Linked DNA regions of Caenorhabditis elegans. The protein of the gene in region 1 interacts with the protein of each later gene in a biochemical or structural test. Each region holds a gene or a part of one and is shown in the gene's direction. Other genes may lie near its edges.

The links.
Region 2: the proteins of npr-35 (region 1) and nlp-10 interact in a test that uses a peptide from one of them, tested with the Caenorhabditis elegans proteins (one large-scale study listed by BioGRID).

The regions. Positions count from the first base shown.
Region 1 is NC_003282.8:7,741,921-7,745,848, forward strand, and holds the start of npr-35 (G-protein coupled receptors family 1 profile domain-containing protein), read left to right. Parts: upstream 1-1,918; 5' UTR 1,919-1,976; coding exon 1,977-2,265; intron 2,266-2,533; coding exon 2,534-2,763; intron 2,764-2,809; coding exon 2,810-2,992; intron 2,993-3,137; coding exon 3,138-3,290; intron 3,291-3,335; coding exon 3,336-3,463; intron 3,464-3,624; coding exon 3,625-3,796; 3' UTR 3,797-3,928.
Region 2 is NC_003281.10:3,933,807-3,937,734, reverse strand, and holds the start of nlp-10 (Neuropeptide-Like Protein), read left to right. Parts: upstream 1-1,826; 5' UTR 1,827-1,869; coding exon 1,870-1,927; intron 1,928-2,934; coding exon 2,935-3,027; intron 3,028-3,421; coding exon 3,422-3,562; intron 3,563-3,851; coding exon 3,852-3,928.

The DNA.
Region 1 (3,928 bases):
CGAAATAGTATTTCAGTAATATTTTCAATATCTCATTTTGATTATTCATGCTGAAATTTCATGAACACATTATTTGCCTGAAAAATTCCTTGATACTGATCAAACATTCATGCACATTATTCCAATTGATAATTCCGAGATAATTCTGTACTTTTTGAAATTTTGAGATATGAAAATTCTTACCCTCAACTTTAATGTTGCTCGAAAAGGCTCACAAAATGTTCAAATACAAGACATTTTTCTCGAATCTGTTACAAAGTTTCGTTGTTTTTCAAAAACATTAGAAAAGTCAAGGAGCCGAAATTCTAGTTTCACGTAATAATGTTGTTACCTGAAAGTCTCGAATTCAAGAGAATTGTGTCAGGATTTTTGTTGGAGTCTTTTTAGTGAATATTTGATGAGTTCGTGGGAAATTTTTCAGAGTCCTCTAGCACAAGGGCGTGCGGCAAATTTTCCAAAATTGCTGTCCACCGAGCTCGGCAAATTTAGAGATTTGATGCACACCCCCTGGTCTAGTACCTACAGCGATGCTCGAAAAGTTGATTTGTTGAAAAGTTGAAAAGTTGGAAAATTTTGCAAGCTGACTTTGACTAAAGATTTTGAAAAATCTAAGAAAGTTTTGGAGTGTTTTAAGACAATAGTGCACTTTTAAAAACTATTACATTGTGGTCGAGAAGAACATTATCCCTGTCAAACTTCCAAATTCAATATATAAATCACATTTACAACTCGAACCCAAATATTTCCGTCAAACGAACACTTTTATTCCATTTCTGTCCGTTTTCCAGTGTCCGTAATCTATTTACCCAGTGACTTCATCTCTTTTTATATCCCATCATGACCGCTTGACAAGTTTCTCTGTTTTCGTATCTCTCTGTTTCAACACATGTTTTTTTATGTATCTTTGCTCTTTTCTCTTATTTTTATATTTTCTCAGATTTTCCAAGAATCTCAGAGTCCTCAAACTATTAGTCAGTAGTAATTGGCTCAATATAGTTTTGGGTGCAGGGGGCAAAGGAAGTGCCGGCAATGATGATGATAGAGGGCGGTTTCTTCACACTTTTTCTATTTTCTTCTCCACCTTTTCATGTGATCCTAGGCTCTATGAGCTTGCCGCCAAAAGAATTTACAAGAAATCAAGACGAGCATCAATTAATGACAAAGCACATTTTCACTTTTCTACACTACAATATTATAACTCAGTTTGTGTCATCCGAAACGGATTGGTCAAATCCCACTAAAACTGTTTTTTAGTATCTTCCTCCCTATTTATTCAATAAATGAAACAGAAACATTTAGGAATTCATCAAATGACATTTAAAATGGGTAAAGCTAGAATGGTGTCCAAGAGTATCTACATGCTTCGTTTATCACATAATCGTTTTTTAACTTTTTAGACTGAGTATAACTAAAAACGTGGAACCTTTAAAAAGTTTAACTGTAAAGTTGATGTTTATAATGTTGTCTGCATGTTAAAACAATGTTGATCATTTCACAACATTCTGGACAGATGATACAACGGCCGGAATTCAGCGATCTCGTTCTTGCTATATTCACTTGTAACGTTTGTTAGAACAAGGGTTTTCTACAAATAAGCAAAGCCCGAAAACGGATATTATAGACACAACTGTAGGTAGCAATATCATATCTTAACATGATAGATACTGAGTTCATTGTCAAAACTATTTCATTTTCGTCCTTAATTCATTGGGAAACTTTTTTCTCTTGGGGGACGCTACTAATGCATTTCGTCATTTCATTGGGTTATCTTCAGACGGCTTCTTCTTTTTCTTATCCATCATCATTTTTCTCTTTTTTCTCTCTTTTTCTAGTAATTTGTATTTTGTATTTTATTAGTTGTTATATTCTGATTTTGATGCTCTACTCAACTTCCGCAGGTTATTTAAAGATACATTTATTTCAGAAAATCTCCAAAACTGCCAATGTCAAATTTTTGAACTTTTGCAACTGTTCAAATGGAAACAATGAATACGTCATTTGTAGAGCCATTATATGCAGATGTTGAACAACTTGAACCAGTCCCTCTACTTAGACATTCATATCAACTAACTGTTCTTTATACAGTTGCATATGGAGCTGTATTCTTCACTGGTGTACTTGGAAACACGTTTGTTGTCTTAGCGGTTTGGGCTCATAAGAATTTAAATATAACCACGGATTATCTAATTTTGTCTCTTGCACTTGCTGATCTGTTTATTTTATGGATTTGTCTGCCAACTACGTTGATTAATAGCATTTTCACAGGTAAGGTTATTTTTTAAATTATTTTTCCAGAATAACTTTTTACTCAGTTTTCGGTGTGAATCAAAAATTTTGAAATTGAGCAAAAATCGTATCCTTTGTATGAATTCTGCAGCAGTGCTCAAAATTTCTCAAAAAATCAAATATTTTTAAAATTTTTGGCAATTTGACAGAGAATTTTGACATTTTTTGAAAGTGGTTCTCAAAAGACTATTATAGGGATATTTTGGCAAAATTTCCGTTTTTAATGAAAACAGCTTTATATTTTCAGAATGGCTTTGGGGTCAATTTTTCTGCCGATTGTCCACATGGGCTAACGCATCTACGTCATTTGCATCAGTTTACACCTTGGTTGCAGTGACGGCTGATCGTTATCTAGCTATTTGCCATACGTTGAAATACAACACTAGCTGGGATCGAGAATATACAAAATATGTTATATTTGCTGTTTGGCTAGTAGCTGCAATATTCGGAATACCTAATTGGTATAACTATGATTTGGTATAAATTTAAAATCGTTGTTTTTTTTTCAAAAAATGCATTTCAGATAGTATGGCAAGAAGGCAGTTATGGTTACCGATTATGTACGTCACAAACGGATCAAAAATTATATTTTTTATTTGTTAACTTATTGCTGGCTTTCATAGTTCCATTTGGTTTGATTTCGGGTCTATACACGAGAATATTTATCACTGTATCAACACATAGAAGTCTGGCAGTTGATGCAAGAGTAAGTTTTATATATTTTTAAACAAATCAAAAAAATCGATAGCCAAGAAATTATTTTACGAGGCTCTTTTAAATTTTTAGCAAAAACTAGATATTAGAATGATTCCATTAAATTTCTATGTGTAAATTGATATTAATATTTTTAGGCCCGAGAAGATCGAGTAAAACTACGAGTTGCCACAATGATGTTAACAGTAATAATTGTATTTGCTTGTTGCTGGTTACCTCTCTATTGCATCTTCACATATTTTTTCTTCTTTGCTGATCAGCGATCGGATCTTTTTCAAATTACTTCAATGGTAGCTGTTTACATATTTATCTTATTAAAAAAGCAAGAATTTCAGTTGATTCGGCCAATATTCCAATGGATGTCATTACTATCGAGTTCTTTAAATCCAATAATTTATATTGCATACAGTCACAAGTACAGAAGAGCTTTCAAAAGTATATTACTGATGCCATGTAAGACAAGGTGAGCAAAAGCTTTTGACACTTTTAGTTTACTTCTTTTGTATTTATTAGTTTTATTCAAATGTATTATTTATCTCTTGTAAATGCATTTTCCTGTAAAATGCGTTTCTAACGTTTATTTTTAAGACTAAATTTATTTTCAAATAATCGGTATATTTTCAGATACGAAAGAGTCCGAAGCACAATACTCCGTCGTCACTCTCGTGGCTTCAAATCAACTGCAACAATTTCAATGTCTAATTTTGGAACTGAACCAACAAATTTAGGTGGAGCATCTAGTTTACTTATTGAACTAGATGGAAAACAGGTGGAAAGATCTACTTCTGATTGTTAAACTTTTTAAAATCATTGAATATGAATATTTTTATATCTAGAACGTTAGGAGTTCAAACATTTTCAGAATCTTAGGTATTCGAAAACATGAAAACATTATTACGGATTGAATTAAAAAATTATGTAGTGTATT
Region 2 (3,928 bases), on another chromosome or scaffold:
TAGCCAATTTTGAGAATTTGTTCAAATTTTTGTTGCCTGCCACCCATTTTTCGCACACATGAAAAAGTATCTTTAATTGTTTTGAATAATAAATATTTCATAATAAGTACATATATCATATTAAATAAAGTATAATTTGAACTTCCGCGTTCCTAGAAAACAATTAATATAACTTCAAGTCCTTAACTCCCCCACTTTTTCTGAGAAGGGCAGTAGCTCCACAGGGAAGAGTTAATTTTGAATAAAATGCTATTTATATTATCATGTATTCGGTTATTTTTCTTATTATATTTTTTTAATTCCCGCTTTACTTTATCCACTTTAAAATTGTATTTTTCAAAATTTAGGCAACTCAAGTTCAAAATTATTGTAGTAAAAATAGGAAGTCTACTTTTAATATTAACAATAACAAATGATATAAAATTCAAATCATTAAAGAACGTAGGAGTTCAATATTTTAATATGTTATATTAAAAATGATATGTTGAGGAAATGCGAATATATGGACGGTGCCTAATGTGAGGAATTTCAGTAATTTAAAAACTAGCTTTAACCCCGGAGTGATTTAGATATTTAGAAAAATCCATCGAGATGCTGAAGTTTGAAAAAGAGGGGGAGGGGGAAACGGGGTAGAAAAGGAAAAGTACCAAAAAATCAATTACAGGCTCCGCCCTAATAATGGTTTCTTTTTTGGATTTGGAATTTTCTAACTATTTTATCAGTGTTTTTTCTTACTTTGTTCATTTTTCTATTCAAATTCATTCAGTAAAATTCTAAAATTTTGCAGTAGGCACATGTGTAGGCCGCCAAGAATTATGTGTTTTGTTCTAAGAATTTCTAAAAATATGTTGTATTTTCATTTATTTTTTCAATTTCCCCCACCCATTCTTATCCTTTCCAAAACCACCTGCATTTCTGAAAAAAAACTATTTTTTCTTTATTTTGCCAAAATCTCTCCCATATCCGAAGCCATAAATTTCCGTTGAATTTGTTCAGTTTTACGATTTTCGCATTAGCTTCGATTCGTTTTTTATGTAAATTTTTTCCCGAATCCAGGAACTTTTCAATTTAACTCTTAAAAATCTATTTCCATGCAAAAACGTTACCTCATCCTTCTTGCATAACGTCATTGTTTGCTCTTTTTGTTCCCGACGGCACCGCCCATTTTGCAACGTTTTCATTAAGTTGGTAGAGAATTGTTGGTGTAGAAATGAAAATAAAACAAAGAAATGCACAAAGAGCAACTTTTTGACCTTTTTTGTCTGGAACTACTTTTTTATACTTTTCAAGAAAAATCAGAATTTGTCTTATTACCTGAAACTTGTAAATACTTGAATGTTCTAACTTTTCAAAGAGAAATTGGCACAAAAGTTTTCAAAAGCCACGACAACGCAGGAGCCAGCAATTCAGCCAATACCTGAAGTCTAAGCCTACGCCTAAGCTTGCGCCTAAGCTTGAGCCTTAACCTAAGCCTATGCCTGTGCCTGTGCCTAGGCCCAAGCCCAATCCTGAGCATAAGCCTAAGTTTTAGCCTAAGCGTAAGTTCAAGCCTAAACCTAACCCTAGGGCTTTTTTTATTCTATATTTTATTTTTTTTTTTTTCAAATTATTCATTTTCTTTTTTGCTCTAACTCCCAGTAATTAATCACCAATCTATACACTGATTTTAAAAAGCAGCTGCAAAGTTCTATGACATTTCATTCCGTTCCCTTCTACGTAATTTCTCAGACACCCCGCTCTTTCATTGTGATTTCATGGGCATCTGATTTTGGAAAATGATTCAGTTTTCGTGTGCAAAATAACAACATTAACCATCATTTTTGCAGGTAAAAACAAAAAGCAGGCGCGCGCGTGGCCTTCTCCGCCAGAATGTGGTACATCGCTCTCTTGTTGGCCGTCATCGCCACCTCGGTCACAGCACAGAAAGGTTTGGAAATTCAAATTTTTAGAATGAATAGGAAATTAATATAGTGATAATTGTATTAAATAAAATTAATCGTGCTCAAGATTTTGAGCTGAAATTAAAATTTTTAAGGTTTTATCTCTTTGATTTTGCAAATGTCATGTCTCGACTTAGAAAACTTATATCTCAGAATTTTTTTTTTTTTTGAAAGTATTTGAAAGTGTTTGAAAGTGTTCAATATCAAACGTAGAATAATATTCTACACGCAACTTGCCAGTTGACATCTTTTTGATAATAAAACAAGTAAGTTTTAGTAGCTTCAGGAAGAATGCCCCCGTTCTCTTCTGTTCCAATTCAATTGCTCATAATTTAATTGTTTTTGATCATATCAAAAAATGTTTAATTGTGAAATTGTAGGAAAATATTTGTCAAGTACTTTGTTAATTAATGACTTTTTGATAAATCAAAAGCAAGAAAGATATAAGCTTTCAAAGTTGGCACAAATTGAAAAATATTAAATCCCCTCCGCATTCTTTGTAAATTCAACTTCCTAAAATTATATTTTTGTACATAGCAATTTATTTTTTGGAAATTTGTGAATTGAAAAAAGTATTTGTAGTTTTTTTTGTTCATGTTTTGTTTTGAAATTGAAGGTTTTTTGGTACTTTTCCGATTTCTGCCCCCAAAATGTTTTTCAATTTTTTAATTTAATTCACACGTGTATGTTTATTTCAATAGTATTTCAACTTTTAGGCTTACTATTAGAAAACAACAATACTAACAAGCCTGAAATTACAAAGAAGTTCACGTTTCAATAATGAAATTTTCGAAAACATTTTGGGGGGCAGAAATCGGAAAAGTACCATTTTTTTGTGAAAAATTTGATAACACGAAGGATATTACGCTTAAAGTTGTCACAAGTTAAAAAAGAAGGTATTTTTGCGATGAAAATTTACTCGGAATTTTTAATCTTAAAATTGTTGTTATAAATATTATTGATATAATTCCATTAACCTTATCAAATTTTACAGCAGACGACGAGCCAATCGTCTTCCTGGTTCGAGTTCCCATTGATGAAATGGACGATGATTCAAGTCTTCTCGAGTCATACTATCATCCAAGAGGTTAGTTTTTTTTGGAGGTCACTTGACTTATTTTAAGGAAATGAAATAGGAAATGAAACTAGAGAATGGGGTGAGACCAAAGTGGAATATTTTGTTTTGAAATTAGAGTTTGGTTTCGGTTTGCAACAAAAAAATAGTGATCCGGAAGCGCACGGGGTGGGCGTTTTATGGCAAAGATCGGGTTGCAAATATGAAACTTTTTTCTTTGGTTTTTTGTATTTCTAAGAGCTTTTGAATAGGCATGAAATCATTCTAGGCTGTAGGCAAAACTTTACCTACCTACGGGCCTACGAGGCCGGTGTATTTCTCGGGTTTTATAAATTAAAACTTGAGTTCAAAACCTTCCTTCAAATAAAATTTTTTAAAAAGTTTTTCCATAATCAATTTTTTGCAGATATATTATCAAAACGAGCGATTCCATTCAACGGCGGTATGTACGGCAAACGATCAACAATGCCGTTCTCAGGTGGAATGTACGGAAAGAGATCCGGACAGATTTTTGCTCAACGAAGAGCCGCTATTCCATTTTCTGGGGGTAAGTATGAATGTAGGCACTTTGCAAGTTAACCTGCGCGGGTAAACATGGTGCATTGAACGTTTAAGCATATGATCTACCTATGCCTACCTCATCACCAAAGTTTCAACAATTTTTCATTAAAATTGAAAGTTACAAAATACTTTGAATTTTCCGCCGAAACGCTTCAAATTGGTGCCAAGTTTTCAAAGTTTTCAAAATCAATCTTAGGCCAAAACCAAAGCTTAAGCCTAAGTTTAAGCCCAAGCCTAAACCTAAACTTATTCTTTCAAAAAACTATTTTTTTCAGGAATGTATGGAAAGCGTTCGTTGGTGCCACAAAGTTATTCGAATAACGAAAATCAAATAAAACGAGGAGCAATGCCG